4 linked regions of the Arabidopsis thaliana genome follow. The protein of the gene in region 1 interacts with the protein of each later gene in a pairwise test. Each region holds a gene or a part of one and is shown on either strand. Other genes may lie near its edges. The genes, in order: AT3G10590, HAM4, AT1G07050 and AT2G02060.

The links.
Region 2: the proteins of AT3G10590 (region 1) and HAM4 interact in a two-hybrid assay, tested with the Arabidopsis thaliana proteins (one large-scale study listed by BioGRID).
Region 3: the proteins of AT3G10590 (region 1) and AT1G07050 interact in a two-hybrid assay, tested with the Arabidopsis thaliana proteins (one large-scale study listed by BioGRID).
Region 4: the proteins of AT3G10590 (region 1) and AT2G02060 interact in a two-hybrid assay, tested with the Arabidopsis thaliana proteins (one large-scale study listed by BioGRID).

Annotation. Positions count from the first base shown.
Region 1 is NC_003074.8:3,309,326-3,313,723, forward strand, and holds AT3G10590 (Duplicated homeodomain-like superfamily protein), read right to left. Parts: upstream 2,003-4,398; 5' UTR 1,987-2,002; coding exon 1,631-1,986; intron 1,364-1,630; coding exon 1,099-1,363; 3' UTR 883-1,098; downstream 1-882. Other genes in the region: AT3G10585 (Homeodomain-like superfamily protein), read right to left, coding at 1-104; AT3G10595 (Duplicated homeodomain-like superfamily protein), read right to left, coding at 2,580-2,862, 3,222-3,490.
Region 2 is NC_003075.7:17,303,112-17,308,445, reverse strand, and holds HAM4 (GRAS family transcription factor), read right to left. Parts: upstream 2,689-5,334; 5' UTR 2,387-2,688; coding exon 926-2,386; 3' UTR 798-925; downstream 1-797. Other genes in the region: HVA22K (HVA22-like protein K), read right to left, coding at 271-329, 615-677.
Region 3 is NC_003070.9:2,162,852-2,167,890, reverse strand, and holds AT1G07050 (CCT motif family protein), read left to right. Parts: upstream 1-2,629; 5' UTR 2,630-2,757; coding exon 2,758-3,165; intron 3,166-3,256; coding exon 3,257-3,445; 3' UTR 3,446-3,537; coding exon of another isoform or gene 3,538-3,564; 3' UTR 3,565-4,316; downstream 4,317-5,039. Other genes in the region: DFO (uncharacterized protein), read left to right, coding at 77-220, 544-685, 1,037-1,236; AT1G07040 (plant/protein), read left to right, coding at 4,856-5,039.
Region 4 is NC_003071.7:492,312-498,756, reverse strand, and holds AT2G02060 (Homeodomain-like superfamily protein), read right to left. Parts: upstream 4,013-6,445; 5' UTR 3,997-4,012; intron 3,377-3,996; exon of another isoform or gene 3,082-3,376; 5' UTR 3,067-3,081; coding exon 2,907-3,066; intron 2,713-2,906; exon of another isoform or gene 2,675-2,712; intron 2,489-2,674; coding exon 2,412-2,488; intron 2,306-2,411; coding exon 2,266-2,305; intron 1,993-2,265; coding exon 1,851-1,992; intron 1,726-1,850; coding exon 1,596-1,725; intron 1,370-1,595; coding exon 1,148-1,369; 3' UTR 979-1,147; downstream 1-978. Other genes in the region: AT2G02061 (Nucleotide-diphospho-sugar transferase family protein), read right to left, coding at 1-274, 433-732.

The sequences.
Region 1 (4,398 bases):
TCGGCAATGTACTCCAAAAAATACGGCGAGCCCTCAGGGAATATCACCAGGGCTAACTCAAAACGCTTGTCATTGTCTCTCGTCCACGGCGGAATCAAAGCCATAATATCCAAGAAAATGAAGAAAAATAGTTTGTGGAATCTGTCAGTCTGTGTCTGTCACTGAAGAGGGTTTGTTGTTCCTTTAATTATTTTTTGAGAACCTGAGAATTTTATAGAGGTGATTTCGCCGGATAAACTAATAAGAAAAACTACAAATTTAGCCCTCAATATATAATGTCATTGAGATTTTTCGTTTCATATTAGATTTATAATGAGAAATAATAAGGAAAAATGTAAAATTAACCCTCCTCTTTGCTTTATTTAATAAAAGAAACCCGAGTTATTTTATTTCGTTCTTAACCACCATATTATATATATCAAACTCAGAACTCAGAAGCTGTCTTTCTTTTTATTAAACGTGTTTATACGTCTGTTTAATTATCACAGAAAAAAATAAAATAAAAAGATGAAAACTTTCAGTACAAGAAAGAGTTCTAAGTACGTATGACTGACTTCTTTATGAATTTTCTTTCTTTTAAACGTGTTTACGCGCGGCCTTTATCACAGAAATAAATATTCTATTTTTTTTGAATTTAAAGAAAGAAAGAAAAGATTACTTTTCAGTTCAAGAAAGAATTCAAAGTATATATCTTCTTATAAAATTTTGGTCTTATTATGCTTCCAAGTTCCATGTAAATTAAATATACTGAAAGACAAACGGTTTGACTAAATATTGATCATTTAATTAGTGATCATATTCACTTACTTTATATATAATATAATATCTTGGCTTTTTTAATGTTTTGAAACTATTTAAAATAAAAACTAACATATACTTGATAGAATCATTAATTATCCTATACACTTGAACATCATCAAGTGAAACTGATATTTTTGTATACCGAAACTACGTAGCAATCCTATACATATGCAGAAAACAAGCGAAGTTCCTTTTTTATTATATTAAATCTATATATATATATATATATATTATCTATTTTTGAGTTCAAGTTCCGTTGCTTGTTTCATTTCACACCATTCTTCTATCTTCCAACATCTAAACTCCAAGACAAGTGCCTTGACCTTGGGACGGATCATCATCATCCGGAGGGTTCTGATTTCCAGAATCTGGATTGCCCTCGGTAGACTCCAAAGTTATGTCAAAAATACTCCGGCGTTTCTCCTTCTTATTGTCCGATTTTTGCCTTTTGTAATACTGTGCATGGCTTGACACTTGCCGTGGAGTCTTTGTCTTCACAAAATTCGTTGATGTCAACGTCGAAGCTCCTTCCCCATACTTTTTCAATCCTTGCAGAAACAATCTGAAATATATCATTAAACAATCAAAATCATAAGAATTAATAACCTAGATATTATCATAATCAGCATCATCATGTTAAAATTAATATAAATCAAATTGATAATTACATCTATCTGAAGAAAAATACTTGTATACGTTACCCTAATCAACAAAACCCAAACTAATCATTTTTTGTGAGATTTGAACTGTTAACTTATACTTTTCCTCAAGATTTAAGACTTTTCCTCAATCAAAAGAAACCCTAATTCATAAGTATTTGATGACTAACCTGTGTTCCTCTTCTGTCCAAGGATTTGGCGTATCCTTCTTCCTGCGTTTGGACTGACTCGATTCCGCCAGTGGTACGTACTCGGGCATCTGATTAACATCGTTGGCCATCTTTTCGTACATGTACTTCATCTCCTCCATTTCCATAGGTTTCTGCAGATGCTGGGTGACATTCTCTAAAGGTTTCGGCAGATAAACATCGTTGACCAACTTTTCGTAGTAGTACTTCACCTCCTCCAAAGGTTTCGGCAGATGCTGGGCGACATTCACCAAACGCTTGTTATCCGGAGGGAATTGCGACAGAGCTGACTTAAAACGCCTGTTGTCGTCCTCCGTCCAGCGTGGACTCGAAGCCATAGTATCCGAGAAAATGAGAAAAAAAAAAAGAGATGGCTAAAAATTCAAGAAACAAGAAGATCGTTTTGTGGAATATGTTACGGAAGAGCGATTGTTTGTTCGTTTTAATTTTGGCAACCTGACAATTTATAGAGGATCAAGTAATGGGTGAAAATTACAAAATTAGCCCTCACTTTACAAAAAGAAACACGATTTCGTATTTAAACACGCACAACTTGACTCAGAAGTTTTCTTCTCGTTTACGTTTAGACGTACGCAGTGGGTAAAACTTGGAGTGTAATTTCAAGTTATTTTAGTTTCCTATTTAACCCCAACTTTATATATACTACGTACTTAACTTGAAAGCTCCATCTTACGTGTATCTTCTGTTTAGCCTAGATGAAATAAAGCAAAAAATAAAAACATTGAAATATATATTATTTTAATGGTTAAAGAAAATAATATAGATGACCACAAAATTAAATAAAATATGGTTTGCCAAAAAAATGGAAATCCCAAATCTTTAACATACCACACAAAAAAAATAATCAAGGGCCTTCAATATCTTTAGGCTTTTTATTTTTTGGTTGTTAATACAGTCATAGAGATTTATATCACTTTGAGTTGGGGGCCTTAGCATGGTGACCGATTTCCAGAGCGACGAGACTCTCTTGTTGGCCTGTTGAGTCCACATTGGTGTTATTTGCTCCCTGCCGTTTCATCACATTCACATCGGTGCTTGCCACATTTAAGTCGTTAATCACATTTTTCTTTGAGCTTTGCCACTGGTAAAAGTTTTCTGCATATATCTCGACTTGGATCGGGCTCTTGCAATCCAATAAGACGGCTATTTTACGCCAATCTTTCCCAAATCGGTCTAACCCAATCAGAAACCATCTGCATTACAATTTCCACCAGTTCATAGATCAGCCCATTTTAATCAAGTTTCACCATGGCATTATTAGTTAACGATATAAATTGAGTCAAATGAAAAAAAAAAAAAAACTATATTGTCCACATTAAAAAAATAATGCTAGAATGTGTAAATCGTAAGATCATAGGACTAAATACATTTTAATCTCAGAAATGAACTATGTGAATTATGGAGTCTAAGAGGAGAATGCGTCTAGCTAGATCCACAAACCAATACCAGTACTAATCAATCATTATGTTTATAATTGAAACTTATACGTGTATGTAAATTCCACTAACTAACAAAAATCATAACTCATCACTCATTAATCTTATATACTTACTCATGTGTTTCTTTGGTCCATATAGTTCTCTCGGCCTGGTACGAACTTTGAGCCATATCCTTAGTCAATTCATTAGGAAAAGCTACTCGACTGGATCCCATCTCTAAAAGATCATTGACCAATTCCTTGTAATGCTCCTTAACATCATCCACCGATCTATCCACATACTCGGCGACACTCTCAAACCGAGTAAGCAAAAAGGCAGTGAACATCACCAGTGCATCCTTGAACATCTCGTTCTCCTCTGTCGTCCATGAATTTTCAGCCATGATTCCCAAAACAAATTAAGGAAAATGAAGTCTACAAAACAGAATGGTGTGAATCTGGAGAACTACAGTATATATAATAACTCATGTAAGGGATATGGCAGCTTATAAATCAACTCAAGTAACAAAAAATATATGGCTTCTCTTCTCTCAAATTGGGGTGTATTAAGTTTCCTTCCTTTTTCTTATATTCAAAGGGTAAATTTTATTTCAGATTTTGCTATATTGCATACAAAGTCTTTATTTTATTTCTTTCTACTGATTTATTGTCATTCATTTAGTTTCCTATATCCTTTTTATTAAATTTGTTTTATAATATTGACGATTTTAGCCAATTAGATTATGATACGTGTACAAATAAATTTTTATTTTCACACGTGTTAGCAATCAGAATTATGATACGTGTTACAGCCAATTAGATTATAACACGTGTATAAACAAATTTATGTTTTCACACGTGTTAAAAATTAAAAATTTAACATACAAAAGATTATAGACCTAATACCACACAAATAAAATAAATAGTCAAAACTTTAGAAATTAAGAACTTTCATTAACATGAAAGAAACAAAAAATTGTTTATTTTTTCAAACTCTCTTCACACGAAAAGGAAAATAATCAATCATAATTATTCACCAAGTTGTGAATATTGCGACGGATTGCAACGATCCCGGTTACTGGTTGGTCACTCTGATACTTAAAAGAGTAACATTTTTATCCATGTTCGTTGGTTGCATTCGTTAAACAAACAAGTTGTGATTATTATCGACCATTGTCCAAGGAAAAATAAGCATTCATTATTTATACTAGGAATTAAATATTTGCCGTCTAAACTCAAATAATAAAAATTGGGAGACCGAACAGATTATAGAATATTTGTGTTAATGCTTACGTGATTTATTTATTTTAGT
Region 2 (5,334 bases), on another chromosome or scaffold:
TAGATTGACCCTTGTCCAAAAGATACCCTAAAGTATCACAACAAGTAGAATAGAACCCTTGTCCACTCGGCTAAGTTAATAACTATGTCAACAAAAAAAAAAAAAAAAAAAAAAACTCCCTCCCTACCCCATTGCTTCACATGTAATGAGAATCACTCAATCAGATCACAATCTCACCAATCAAATCATTCCTCCAATTCATTCGTCTACCTGTACCATTGATTCTAGCAACTATATGGCTTTCTTCACCTTACAATAAAAAAAACTCACCATGCTGTACGAAGTACGATATTGGAACTAAGTGGAGAGAACAATACACGCAACCCAACCTGAAAATTCCATTGAGAAAAACAATTGTTTCTCTCAATCCAAAAGTTGAGAATATCCACATGATCAGGAATTGAAACACCTCTTTCTCTAATCGGCTTTTGTCAAAGAGTAATCCAAACAAAAAAACAATCCAGTACAGAAGAAATCTGAATTCCAACAAGGCAGAAGATGAAGGAATCCTAAATATACATATTTAATCATAAACTTTATCACGAATCCCCAAATCACGGATCGGAACAAAAGCCGTACAATCGGAAACATCAATCAAACTAAAGGAAGATTACCTCGCCGGTGAGTCCAGATCCAAGAAGCGCCATGGATGGAATCTGTGAAGCAAACCCGCTCATCGGCGATTCGTACGACGGTTTTACCAAATTGACGACGAACTCGCACACTCGCAAAAAAAAGGTCACTTGTGTTTTGAATAGAGGAGATTATGAATCATTAAAAGACTCTAGCTCATACAGAGACTCTTCGTAAGAAATATTTTTATTTCTTTATTTGAAAGATAAACAGCAAAAAGAAAAGAGATATTAAAGGCGGTAAATACAATTATTCTATTCTATATCATATTGTTAAACCAAACCCGGTTTATCTAAAACCGCCAAGCTGATGTGGCAACAAGTGCTCTTCCATGCCAGCACAGCACCAATTCTCCTTGTCGTTTCGCCACGTGGAATCCTCTAACTTGCGCTTTCTCCAATAAACACTCAGCTTGAAAGTCGGCGAACTGGCTTAGCTGTATCGGCCTCATCCCGGCGGCGCAAAACGCTTCCCGCCAAGTCATTTCGCCGGTGTGTCTCCTGTCAGCCGCCGTTTCTACCGCAGCGGAGATCTTCGGTCGTAGAACGAACGCTTCCACTATCTTCTTCACCAAATCTCCGGGAGGAGCTGCAGCGTCGAGCGACTCCAGCACCATCGTGTAGAACTCAAGAGCGCTAACAAACTCTCGCCGGAATGATCCAGATCCGGCGATCTCCGTCCATCCTTCACTATCCACGAATACAACGACCTTAGGTGATACTCTCCGTAAATTGTTAACAAAATCAGTGATTCCACTTAGACGACGAAATATCGCCGGGGAAATCAAAACGACGGTCCTCTCCCCCTCAACAAACCTAATCGCTTTGAAAGATAACATCTCAAAAGTCTTCATCAGCACAAACTCAATCTGGAAACGAATTTTCATCTCCGCCGCGAATTGAGTTAGGTTTTCTTTCACTAGTCGCGTCTCTACGGCGCACTCCTCCGCCACCACTGCCGTAACTCTTAAAAATCCACCGCTTACAGATTTCTCAGTGATTTCTCTCATAAGCGATGCGTATTGGCCACCGAATCCAATCTCAAAATCCACCACGTGAACAAACGGAGAAGACGACTGCGAGCTCAACGAATCGAGTATCGCTTGATTCGCCGTGAAATGAGAGAAGAGAGGGATCGGAGAAATCCCGGAATATTCCTTAATCGCTCGGATCCTCTGAACAATCTCGGACCAAGAAGATAACCGGATTGGATTCCGGTTTGATCCGGTTAAAAACGAACCGAGAGCTTCCTTAAAGTAAAACGCAGCTCTCTGTAACGGTCTACCCGCCGGAGATCTCAAGCGTTGATTAAGCCGTGATAAAACCACCTGAGCGAGTTGTAACTCGTCCGATTCAACACAATCCACGACTCGGATGAGATCTTCAATGAAATCAAATCCTCCATTGTCGACACTATCAAGAGAATTAAAACCGTACCCAGTTGTTTGGTTCTGACCAGGATAAACATCGGAAGACGATTCGAAATCCGACGGTTGAATCTGATCGGGAAAGCCAGGGAGATTTGAATCGACGGCGTAAAGAGGCAAAATAGTAGAATCTGTTGTGGTTGTGGTGAAACCGGTTTTAAGTGAGTTAGGAGCAGAATCGTCATCAAGCTCCAATTCTTTCATGATGGAATCCCAATCCATTGAACGCATGACATGTTCGTCCATTGATAAGTGATTACTATCAGTACTATTAGTGTTGTTGTTGTTGTTGGTCGTGTCTTGAGGAGATGATGCAGGGATTTTCATGTGTTGTGTGTTAAGAAGAAAGAAAGGTGGAGCCTTTAACGAAAAGAAAAAAAGTTTTTTTCTTTCTGTCTTTTTTCTTTGTGTGTGGGAGAAGAAGAAGGTGGCGGGGCTTTTGAAAGGTGAGAGTGGTAAGCTTTTTATCTTTGAGTGAGTGCGTGCAAATAAAGAGATTTCAACTTTGGTAACCGTGTCTGATCCGGGTTTGTTTGGTTTTACAGAATAATATTTATACACGAAACAATCTGATTGACAATGATTTGTATATGATTCCGTTTTTTATTAATAACATACTATTTCACATGAAATTCAACTGAAAGATTTTAAATCAGTTTTTATTTTGTATTAATTTCTCATAATATATCTCCAAAACTATATACTATGCACAACTAGCAACTTCTGTAGCTAATGAAAAGGAAACTTCTACAGCTCTTTAAAGGGATAAAATACAAATAAAGTTCCTCTGCTTTAAAAATAAAAATAAATCATTTGATTGAAAAGAGATCCAAGCTCCACTATGTTGATCATCAAGAATGTGAAAGTTGAAAATAAAAGAGAAAAAGGATGTTTTAAAAAGGTTAATGATTTCTCTCTTTTTTTTGTCTGAGTGGTTTTTTTTCAGTCTTTTTCATCCTAAAATTTTAAACAGTATTTTACAAAAACATTTAACTGAAAGTTTTTTTTTATTACATATGACAATTTAAGTGATCAAAAATAATCTTTCTCAAACATAGCAGCACGGCTATATGTAACTATGTTGTACCTGAGTTTGAGATCAGCGTTAAAATATTTCATATTTGTGGATATTGTTTTCGATCATTAAATCTCATACGTTTTTGACCCAAGTATGGAGATAAATAAAAAACTATGAATCTGCGTTGATTATTCCAATAGGCAATAGGTATATCAACGTTTGGAATTTTTTTTTAAAAGTAGTTTGTGTTGGACAAAAATATTCTTACTAAACAAACTCTACAACGTCGTTTTTATTCTCACTAAACCTAGTTGTTAGTACCACACAAAATACAATATTATGTATTTATTTAGTACCGTGCATATATCACATAATAATCTCAAACTAGTTACAAAAGCTAGAGAGGTTTATTCGATTGATAACCAATAAAAAAGGGGAAAATTGCATGAAACAATTTGAGTCGATGATGTTTAACGGACACTAATCCCCGCTGCTTGCGACAAAAAACAAAGGAAAGGAAAAAGGGAGTGACCACTGGGCTTTATGTGGAGCCCACATAACACGGTAAAAAGCAGGGGGAAAGTAAGCGGGTCCACAATGGGCTAACTTTTGAGGTAATAATGTCGGAGAAAATGACCGAGAAGCCCATGGGCCAGAGATTGACTGATCATTAAGTCAGCGCGTAAGAATCACGCCCACTTCTTTCTTTTGCTTAGCCCCCCACTCTTCTCTCTAACTCGCAAAGGAAAAAGAAAGAATATGTTCTCTCCTTCACTTATTGCTTTCATTTTCATGGAAATTTACCTTCCTTTTTTGTTTTCTTTCTTTTCTATTTGGTTTGGTGTACCAGAATGCAAAACCATTTCCTCAATCTTTTGAATATACTCTCTTTTTTTTTTCCTTGTGTAATTAGGAATGTTTGATCATATTAGGTTAATAACTCACCATTTTCGCAAAATATGGCCTAGTTTGCGAAATTTAAACATCATATAGTTCTCGTGAAGAAAAGCTTCTTCTCATTGAGACATTATTCAACCTTTAATATCGTGGAGAAAAGGTTCCTCTCATTAATACACCTTTTTCCTAACATAATTCAACTTTTTTTCTTACATAAGTCTTCATCTGTGTTATATAATTTAGATTTTATGCGGTATAGCGGCTCAATTAACACACTAAAATACTAAAAGTTCTTTTTGTGGCAACTTTTTTTAGTTGTTTCTCATTAAATTAATGATTAAGCCCACATTTCTGTTATGTTTTAAAAATTTAAGAGAAATAATCAAGTTTAATATTCCACCGTATGAACGCCTACATGCAATGGGATCCACTTGTATCCTAATCTCATGCTTAACAACTAGTTAGTTTATTTTCGAGGATCATACATAAAATACCATAATATTATAGTTTATATATGTGGAACATGCAAGAAAAATAATCAATGATTTATCGAACTGAAATCACTCGCCAAATTAGTTGCCTTTTTTTTGTTAGATTGAATTGCCAGTATTTTAAACAAATAATAAAATAATAATAATAATAATAAAATGCCAGTATTAGACCAATGTTTTCATTATGCTCAGAAATTATTTCGTCCACAGACCACCAAAATGTTACGTCTTGTTAGCTTGAAAATCATTACACTATCACTTTTGATTCTCGTTCATACAGCTAATTCCCTGAAAAAATGATGGCCCTATGTGTACAACTATTTTATTTAAATCCATCTGATATTGGGTAACGAACGTTTTAATTATATGCAATACAATTTATGAATGATAATTATTCTGCATATACACTAACGTCTCCAAATATGGCAATATCTTCCCTACACATGATTGGAGTTTGTCGAAAAAGAAAAGAATATTTCATAAATAATGTTGGTAATTAATACAAGTTCTATTTATTAACACACGTGATTGTATATTAAAAACAAATGAATGACGATCATATCTTATATTCCCACTCTGACAATATTCTTTTACTGATCGACCAATGGATCCTCTCGTTACCAAAATTGTCCCACTGCCAAAGGTTTCTTTCTTATTATTCGTTTCTGTGTTGGTAGTTTTATAATATGTATACCGTGATTTATACTAAGTATAATGTCTCATAAACTGTTTTTGATAAAGAAAATTTTAAGTTGTTGTGCTGACTGCTGAGAACCTGTGTAATAATATAATATCGCCAAAACATATTATTCAATTCTCATAAGTTGTTTTTAATTTGAAGGTTATGAATTTGTAAACTTTGTGTGTTT
Region 3 (5,039 bases), on another chromosome or scaffold:
GATTTGCAGATGGATTTGTGCACTTTACTCAACTTTTCTGTAATGTATGTATATATGGTTGTTATATGTTGAGTAGAGTTGTTTGGCTATGAGGTATGAGGCATTGAATTTGCGGCAGCTCAAGTCTCCTAGCTGTTTGTGGTTAGGGGTTTCACATTCAGAATGGACCAAATTTGCAGTCCAATCTATGGAAAATGGATTCCCTTCCATTGCAGGAAAGGTAAATTACTCTTCCTTCTGTAGTATATGATCTCGTTGCTTTTGGGAATGGTTGGAGAAATTCACATAAGAGGAATGGTTAGAGATTCTGTACATGTTTCTTGGAAAGTGAGTTTACTTTGTAATTGTGTTAACAAGTTCATGCTTGTATGATCGGAATTGTTGCTTTACCAATTTATTCAATTTTTTGGATACATAGCAATTTGTTATTTGTTACATTTTTCTGTTCCCACATGGAAGTACAGATCAGATAGGTTCTTTGCTTCTTTTGATTTTGACTTGTTCTTACTATGAGGTATGACATTTTGATGAGTTTTTACGTAGGCGTCTGAAAATGCCCTGTTGAGCCTTAAGAAGGATAGTCTTATTGAACCAAAATCAGAAGATAATTCTGACATTTTGGATGCTGCTGAGAAAGTAAGGAGACTAAGGGATTCAGCTGCCTCGTTAACATCTTCACATTCAGGTATTTTCATTTATATCGTGTCTTCTTTAAAGTTTGCTGTTTGTAACAGACTTCTGACTACATTTTGATTGCTTTCTTCGTCTCTATCTAAAGTATTGGTCTTAAATTACTCGTTTTATTCCCACCGTTCAATGCCTTCAATGTAGTGTGACTGTTATGTATGGGAGAATCCATTGAGTTTGATAGAATCTTGGAAATCTACTGGTTGGAAAGATTGATGATTTATAAACTGACTCTACCAACTATTGTTTGGATCCATCATAAAGGATATAAAACTGACTCGACCAATTTTAACAGAGTGTCTGTTAGAATGTATCTGATTGGTCTGAGTAATTTTCGAATCACAAACAGTTCAGGCACAAGGTGCAGGGTACTTGAGAAGCAAGGAACACAGAATACAATCCAGACAGACTCTACCCACTAAAAATCCAGACTGCACAGGTAGCAATCTGTTCAGAGAAGGAATCAAGAAGCGTAACGAAAGAATGTTGCAAGATCTCCGTAGTATTCGGATGAATCGAAATCTAGAACCAGATGTGCGCTGTGTTTGAACTTTGATGCAACTGATGCTACAAACTTTGCTGCTTCATGTTCATTGAAAAACAGGTCAGCTTTCGCTAACATTACAACTTAGATGTTACTGAAGATCATTTTTTTTTCTCATAGAAGAATAGAAGAAGCTTAACCTCATTGATGCCTTTTATGAGCAAAATCCAAATCATTTCACCAGACACATTTCCCATAAAGATTGTTTCTGTTTTAGCTTTTGGTTATCAAAATTCGAAATTTTACCACATCAGTATCACCACCTTCTGAAAAGTTTCCATTCAGTTTTTTTCTTGAAAAGTACGAAAACTAGTTTTTGTTCTTACGTTTGCATTATGAAAATAGCAAAAGGTTAATCAATTTGTATTATTAAACAACTCTATAAATTTGAAAATCAAAATGTTATTTTCAAAATTGTCTAAACTTCAACCGTTCAAAATCTAATAAATAGATTGCCACATAATTTCTCTTTTTAGTAGTATATATCATGTGGCTCATGTCTATGCTATCACAAGTAGACAATTGTTTTCTGAGATATTTTCTTTGTAATTGTTAAACCAAGATATGTCATCATCATCTTCCTATTTTTAGTTTTGGTCAACTTGTGTTTTCTTTTCCTTCTAATCATTTTTGTGATTTACAATGCATATTCAATGTATACAAATCTTGTAATTCAACATGTGTTAATGTGTAATTAATTATAAAATATATAATTAGCGGTATAGATACATTTTCTTTTAAGGATATAAAAAAAAGTTATATACTTTTCTTATTTTATCATGTCTATGTAATATGTGTCAAAGTGTCAAATTTTAATAGCTGTCATTTGCTAATTTTCTACATATTCATCTATTGGTGGAAACATACCTATTATCATTTCCTTCCATCACAACTTTTTTTATCATGTATATAAATATCTAACAGATTTTTCACTCCATCTAATGTGTCGAATAACAAATTCTTACATCAAGAAGAAGAGGAGTGAAAGGCCGAGATACAGATCGAAACATAGATATCACTTACCAATTGATAATTGGGTGACGCCTCTGTTTCAGTTTAGATTTCGGCTTCCCATTCCTCTTCATCAAGATGTAAGAATCTTATTCTCTTCTTAACTTAAGATACTTTGAATACAAGAAAATGAATTCTGAAGAAGAACAGGGAAATTTTATACTGTTATAGCTCTTTCCTAGCCCCAATGACGCTAGGACTCGGCTATTAGTATAAAGATGAAAAAAGTGGCTAAATGGTCTCTGGTTAGAGGCAAAGGACCAGTAAGAGAGGTCCCTCAAATTGGGTCCAAGCTGGACTCTCTAAACCAATCAGCTTGAGATTATTCCATCACTTTTGGGATAAGATGCCACATCGTATCAGTTACATCACATATTAAAGTATTAAAGAAACACCTTGCTCTCTAAATATTGTATTTGTATCTATATATAGTTTTCGTATGGTGACGGATTTACAAAGAAAAAAAAAATATTGGAGTGAAGGGAAAACAAAACAGAGAAAAAGATAAGAGATATATGGATACACAAAGGTTGCCGAAGAAAGAAGAAGAAGAAGAAGAAGATCATCTACTTTCTTCAACCTTCGAGTCCATCAATGGTCACTCTCGAGACCAACACAATCATTCTATAGATGATTTCGAGAGCATTTTCGACATCACCATTGACAATTTAAGCTGCTCTAACGAACTCACGTGGGATTTCTGGGAAGAAGACGAAGATGAAGATGTAGGGGAAGAAGAAAAAAGATCGAGTACTGATCAAGAAGGCTCAAGTTTTGGGTTTTGGGAGAATAAGCCGACGGATTATGAAGACAAAGACTTGGGTCTGAAGCTGAATCTGAACCATCAAGAAGTTATCGATGCTTGGTCTGATCACCAGAAACCTCTGTGGACAGATACTTCAACTCTGGACAATTCCGTTTATGTTAGTTTTTATGAATCTCTTTCTTGTTGTGCAAGTTATGAGTAGTGATTAATCTTGATTAGTCAATATTAATGATTTAGAGTGTATGCAGAGGGGAGAAGTGCCAGTGATAGAGGAGAAGAGAAACATGCGAAGAGAAGCAAGTGTGTTAAGGTACAAAGAGAAAAGACAGAGTAGGCTCTTCTCTAAGAAGATAAGGTACCAAGTCCGAAAACTCAACGCAGATAAACGACCTCGTTTTAAGGTCTCTTTCTTATTCCTTCTTCTTTCTACACTCTAGCCTTTACTCATTTAGTTTCATGACACCAATTAATATTGTGAGGCCTAACTTTATATTTCTCTTGCAATGGAAATCTTTTGAATTATTTGTAGGGTCGGTTCGTGAAAAGAGAGACTTAAAAGGGGCAAAAATATCTGGAGAAAAATATCTCCAACCTTTGTTGTGTCTATTTTCTGTTATTATTATTCGTAGTTTTGAGATATCATTATCGACTTTTACAACTTTTGTCATATTGAAATGAAAATATCTTATTGACATAAAAAAGAAAAGAGATGCAAAAATATCTTTAAGATTACATGAAGAGGAGCGAACGTATATGGCAAGTCTTTGTCGAATTGGTGGGGTCTTAAGGCTAAAAAAGGGTTCACCACATGTGTATGAATCGAAATCTACTCATCCGCTGTCGGGACCAAACTACATATCAACTACCACGTTTTTCTCATATGAATATTCAAAGCTACCGTAAATTTTTATAAAATTACGTCATTAGCATAAGAATGTATGTACATATTAATGACTATTATAAACCCTAAGGCACGGATACCTTATCCTTCCACCACCGAATTTCACGGATTCCATATCCTTTCACCGGACTAGACGAATATGAAGCTAAGATATTAATAGATTGGTGACCAAATTTGAATCTTTTCGGATAAAACTTGTTTGGCATACTTTCCCTTAGAGTCAATTATTCTTCAAACAATGTTTAACTTAAATCTCAAGATCTTATGTAGTTAATGGTAGATATCGTACAGTTTTTTTCGTGTTTGTCTTTTGATCGTGTGTAAAGTGTTGGAAAATCTAACTTTGTATATAAGTTCTACACCTCCAAATTAACGTTCGAGCTTATCGGTATTACTGCTAGTGCTTTCTCAAATTCCTTTTTAGATCATATAGTAGCCCACTAGGAAACCTTACACCAAAACGCCCAAATAATATGAAAAGCCCATCATATTGTCCATCCAAAGTAGGACAATTGCTGAAAAAGCCCAACGAATCAAACCTGCATTGTTACCTTGCACTTGGAAAATGAATTAAACGGCGACGCACCTATGGATGGAGACTAAGTTCACTCATCAAAAATCTAATTTCAACTCTAATTATCGTATTTAAGGTCATTGGAGATTCAACTCTTGTACCTGTAGTTTCTTCTTCTGAAAATCAGCAACAAACTACAAATCATCCAATGATAGAATTTCAGCTTTAATTATCAAACAAATTAAAGATAACCCCATTGATAATATCGCCACGTCTCATCGGATGAAATAGTACTATCTGACACGACACGAATCTCTTATGAGAGAAACAGAAGAGCACGGAATCTCCATAAATCAAAATACATGATCGGAGCTTTCTCACTATCAAAAGCTTTCCGGCGACAAAACCAACCATCTCCTCCTTATCTCCACCATGATCTCACTCCACTCATCAGCCATTAAAGCCTCTCTCTACGGCTCTTTCCCTTCTTCGTTACGATCAACACTCTCTGTTTCCTTCTCTGCTGGATCTCTTATTCGGCTTCCTTCCGTCGGCAAGCGCAATCTCTCCGTCGTCGTTTCCTCTGGAAGAGACTCCTCGATGTCATCAAACAATG
Region 4 (6,445 bases), on another chromosome or scaffold:
CACCACCAGAGAAATCAACACCTTCTGTTTCAAGTCTGAAGCAATGCTTATGCAGTTCTTGACAACGTGAATAAGCTTTAGCATCCAAAGCAATGATCACCAAGTGTTTCAATAGCCTTCTTGTTCCTTTACCAATTCTAAAACTCTCAAAGAAAAGATCAATCACAGATCCTGGAGCCGCCCAAGCTTCATTCAAAGTTGTCAAAATCACTGTACCATCTTTAGTTGCTGCTCTACGCAATACTTCTTCTAGCTTAGGTTCCTCAATTTCCTCCTAAGAAACCAAAACCAGAATCAGAATCAAAATCGAACCAATTTCAATTTCGATTACCAAATCAAATCCCTAGAATCGAAGTCTAATGAAGTCGAAGATCGGATTTATGAATAAACACCAAATATATAGAAACAATGTGGAAGAAGAAGAATACTCACCGGAGACAGAGACGGAGATGGAGACGGAGACGAAGAAGAATCGTTGACAGAGGGGAAAATGCGAGAGAGGGTGGAGGAAGAGTCAGAGACGATTCGGAGATAACCAGAAGTTCTGTAGAGGGAGAAGCAGAAGCAGATGAAGAAGAGCAAGAGAACGGCTCGGAGTACATTGCCGGAGCACGGTGGGATTACGACGGAAGTTACGGCGGCGGCGGCGGAGGAAGAATGATTCTCGTCGGAGTAAGAATCGTTGAGTATCGCCGTCTTGGAATTGGAGCCAAAACGGTTCGATAGATTCATCTTCGCCGACGTTGACGACGTTGGTCATCGTCTGGGCGGTTATAAGGTAGTTTCAAGTTTTTTGAATGTAAAACGCGGCGTTTAATGAGTTTACCCTCCAACGATGAAACGCAGCGTTTAATGGGTTTTATCTGCGAGATTATTTTTTCTACCGTAGGATTGCCGACCAAAATAACAATGAACATTCTAAACCGTAGGATCTTGATATAGAAACGCTGCGTTTAGGGGTTATCCTTCAAAGATCAAAACACTGCGTTTGGCTCTGTTTGTTAATTTTCCGTTCAAAGGCGATCAAAACGCTGCGTTGATAATTTATCTAAACTTCATTTTCTAGGTTTCTCTACTAACATTCAATATCCTAGTTTCAAAAACACATCCGAATAGTTTCTCTGAACCTAAATCTTGCATAACTTATTTAGCTACCGAGGAGAGAAATTGACAGATTAAGATCAATCTTTGAAGAACCAAAGCAATCTTTGGATACGAATGGTGCTGAACAAGTCGAGACTGCTGCTTCACTCGTTTCGCTCACCACCGATGATCCATTGCTTCTCCAATGATGATGATTTAACGACAGAGACAACGACAAATCTTCTTCTTCTTCTTCGTGTTCTTGTTCCCGCCACTCCTCTGTTCCCTAATGAACCAAAAGACAAAATTAGTTACCAAACCGGACTAAAACCGGTTAAATGCCATTTATATGAAACTAATTAGATTCAATGACAAGTAGTACTTAAACCGGACTCAATCCCTTTGGATTTGACCAGTCTCAATCAGACCGGTTAGAACTCATAACCGGACTTGATTTTGTTTTGCAACATTAAATTTCCAAACCGGTTGACAAAAGAGAAATTTATTTATACCTTGGGGAAATGATGTGACAAAAACGTCGTCGTATCGTTCATCTTCTTGATGTGAAGAAAGTCAGCATCATCATCATAACCACCAGACTCTGAAGTCTGCTGCTCTTTTGTTCTTCCTCCTCCTCCTCCTCTGCACCAAAGTAAAAGGACAATTCAAATACAGACAAACAAAAAAGCAAAACACTTTTTTTTTTTTTTTACTGAAATAAAATTAAAAAACTTTGTCAGAAAACAATTATAAATAAAAATAAATACCTAAATGAAGAATGTGAAGAAAGAGGAAAAGAGTGAAAACCCAAAAGACAATCATTCCTTGTGTGTAAAGACAAGTTGTCATGAAGATAATAATCTTCTTCACTGTCTTGTCTTCTTCTTATTGAAGATGATGAGCTTTCTTCTGTGTAAGAAACAATAAAAACTAGTTAATGAATATTCTCTTATTTTCTGTTCTATTACTCTTGAAAAATATATAAATGTATTTATGACATTTGTCTTATGAATCATGACACTAGACCAATAGTACATACTACAAACAGATACAGTAAAATAATTAAATTCCATCCATTATTATGTGTTTGATGTTAACAGTTCAAATTAAAATCAACGGTCCCATTCTTTTTCCAAATATCATCATTGATTCATTTCATAATTATAAGGAAAAAAATAATACCTGGTTTCTCCAAAGTGAGCTTTGAACCTCCTCTATACATCTGTTTATATATATGTTCAAAACAATCAAAACAAGGTGTTATGAATGAAATATGAATAAAGAAGAAAACAAAATTGATGTTTTTGGTAAAATTAATTACTATTTACCTGAAGGTGGCTTTTGACATGTGAAATGGTAAGTCCCTTCACATCCATCATCTTAAGAACAAGTTTTGGTGTTGCTCCTGTTTCATCAAACCCAACAAAATATCAAAAAGGTGACTATGATGATTCTTTATGAAAAAAAACAAAAACTCAAACTTTATGAATGAAACAAAACAACAAAAGCGTGAAGGTTTTGACTCGGTAACTTGACAAAGATGATTCATTACGATGATGAAGATAAACAACACAATAAGGAAACTTCAAACCTTTTTTTTAGCATAAAAATCCAAACTTTGAAGATAAGAATGAAACAAAGTAACAAAAGTGTGAAGATTTTATTCAAAAACTGATTTTTTACGATGATTGAGACAAAAGAATGAGAAAAGTCCAATTTTTCTAGTTATATCGTAACTTTAGGATGTTTGAAGCAAACAAACACACAAAAGTTTGGTTTTTTTCACAAAAGATTTGAAGAGAAAAAAAGTATAATAAACTTACGGTGTTGACCACCGAGAATCTCGACGGCGTGAACGAAACAACGGTGAAGATCCGGCGTCCATCTAAGCCGTGGAACTGGAGACCGTACGTAAGGTCTAACTCCGTGAAATTTATTGCCGTTAAAGCTTCCGTTACCATTTCTACCACTAGACTTACCCATATCGTTTCAAGAACCCTAAAAACCGACACAAAGATTCGATTTTTACTTAAACCCAAGAGAAAAAAAGGTTTGATATGTTTTGGTTCTGTGAAGAGGAGAGAAAGAGAAACGAGGAGAGGAGGATTTGAGAGGTGTGTGGGTTGGGATTAAAAGAGCAAGTTTTTGTTTTTGGCTTCTTTCTTAAAGATGACTGTCTCTTTTTCCATCTATTCTTTTTGTCTCTTTTTGGATTCATTCATACTTATTATTATCTCTCTATATATGTTTTGCAAAATTCCAAAAAATAATTATTAAAACTTGAGAAATGTTTCATTCATTTTTTTTGTTAAATATCAATTTGAGTTCTTACGAAAAAACTACATTAATTAAAAGAGAGTTATAATTTTGTTGTTTAAGAATTGTTCATGACATATACGTGAGGAATTTGAGGATACGTAAACTATCGTAAAGTCAAAATTTCATAATCTGATATGGTTTATGGTTGGGTCACTTATTTAGACGATTAAACTAGCAAATAAAAAGAATGATGTTATAAAATTGGTTTATTATACTAAACAGAGAGGTGACATGTGTTTTTTGACCTACAAGCTTGTAGTAATCATACGAAAATCCATTTGACTTTGGTTACAAAAGTAGTAATCATACGAAAATCCATTTGACTTTGGTTACATTAGTCTTGACTCGTGACCCCATTCATTATTATCTTAAATAATTTTTTTAAATAGTTTTCGAGAGAATCATTGCATATCAACGTACCAGAGAACTACACAAGGCTACATACATAACTTGCATGAAAAGAACATAGATTCGAGTATTACCCTTGCCCCGATCGATATATAACCAATTGAACATACATTTGTTAGCTTAGCTGGTCAAAAGAATATACTTGTCATAGAAAAACCAAATTTTGTAAGAACACATAATATTTACCTTATAGGGATTTGGGATTTACCCAAATGAAGAAGTTTCCTCCACAGTACCTCAAACTTTACTTTCTCACTTTTTTCACGATAGGTTTTAGACCAAAACGAATAAATTTAAATGAAAATAGCCCAACTGCTTAGCTTTGACCATATAGCATAATTATTATTCCTATTTTTGTTTTTTGTTTTGTTTTTTTAGGGTTTCGTGTTAAACTTTCTGATTTCAAATAAATCACACAATTTTACAATGGTCCTTCGTTATGTCTTTTGGACCACCGTTTTGACTTCATTCCCCTAATTCCTTTACATTTTCTCCCATTTCCCATTCATTTTCCTTCTTATTGTTTTCTTTTTCACTCCCATAATAAGTGATAATAAATCTTAGGATAATATTTATAACAAGAATTATTTATTTTCCCCATTTTTCTTTTTCTCATTGCTGATTTGGTGTACATGGAAGACGAACCAAAACCATCATGTCCCTATATGGTAGCCGACAATAATTACTGATTTCGCCAGTTTTTTCCAACCATGGATTCAATATTTTAATCAACGAATTGTGGACATAAATCACGTTATTTTATCAGCTATTCTACTATTAACTACTTATATTAACATCAAATACTGTTTTTAAATGATGTATGTATTTCTTGTAAGAAATTAAGTACTAGTATATAATTTTTATGTAGTATTAGAAAGTAATTGATTTGTACTACATACTTACTCGTGGTTTACGTGGTATCAGCCATAATAATAAAAAAATAAGAAAAAGCCGATTGAGTATTAATTAAGAGAACAAAATTTAATAATTTATAATTTAACAAAGTCGTCGTCTTTATTCCACACATAAATCAGACATTTCTATACCCAACGAAAAAAACAATCAAATAATAAAATCTACACACAAAGTGAGGTCATTGACCTTTAAAATGTAGCCTATTGTGCTTTGCATTTTCTTCTCATTTATGCACATTCTCTAAATTATTATAAAAACGTGGAATTCTCTGCATATATGCCAAAATTCGCTTTAACGATTTTAAAAATGGTTTAGTGTTTGATTAGACGGTAATTAAAATATAATATTCAGTCACCAGCTTGTCAAAGACACACGAGTTGCTTATATTACCTATATATTGACTAGAAGAATAATACAAAAAGCTACCTAGGTTATGATCATTGATCAAAATAATCAAGTAAACACATTCCAAAAGGTTTTATCAGTGAAACAATTTTACTATATTCACTAATAAAGCCTTTTATTATCCTACTGATGATCATTGATCGATAAACACAATTGCATGGATGGATAAAATGTCTAACCGAGAGTTCAAGTCTCAAAAATCAAAATGGTTAGTACTAATACATGTATGAGAGAAAGTGGAAGCAAATGAAAATAATACATTAAATGAGTCTGGCAGAGACAAATAGCTCCAAGAGAAATTGAATGAGTAATTGACTGTGGAGGTCCATGATTCATGGCTTTTACCACAATCAAAACATTCAATAATTCTCTTTGCTTGTTTTTTTATTAATATTATAAAACTTTGTACATACATGTAAGATAATGTAACCCAACTGGATTTTGGACTATAAAAAACATAACATTCTTTTTTGTGTGTGGAAAATTTGGATGTGCAAATCTCACCGAACCATTCGACGATTATCAATGTTAATTTATTATTCTATTGGGTCAATTTTCTCATCACCCATTGATTGAATTCAATCATAGCACATGCAAGAACAAGGCAAATTCTAAGATGGTTAAAGTAATATAAAAGGTGTAATCCATGAAACACCTAGAGAGAACAGAGAAGAATTAGCCTTTTCACACCTAAAATAACATTAAACAAAAGTGAAAGAGAGTTGTTTAAAAGTTTGATTTGGGAATGGTTGGGCCACCAAAAAAATTACACAACTAATATATAAATTACAAGACAGAGAATATAATATACAACAATGTACACATGGATAGATATAGACATTGCATGGTTATGTGAAAAGGTTTAGAGTAGTGTGAGTGCATAATTATTGGAAGTAGGACCAAACAACTCTTGACTTTTCATCCTTAAGGATTGGAATTAGATTTGATATGTTTTCTTAGCATAACCTCTTTTATTCCTTTTTTTTTTCTTTTTCTTTCAAAAGCGTAACTTTTGCAATTTTTTTTTTTTTTTTTCATATGAAATTTTATTGATAAACTTGTTGTGCAACCAAGGTAGAATACAACCCCCAAAAAAGGAAAACTAAAACCGGCGAACGACATAAATGTTTCCGGAGTCAAAGCCGAAGGAAAACGTAATTAATGAAAACACAAAACAGAGATTTGTAAACCTAAATCGAAAGAGGTCGAACCCAACAACTAAAAGCAGAAACAAAGGCACAAACCCTTTTAAACTACTAATCTCTAGAATCAACAAGTCCTCTTTTCTGAAGCAACTACGGATGAGATTTACCAA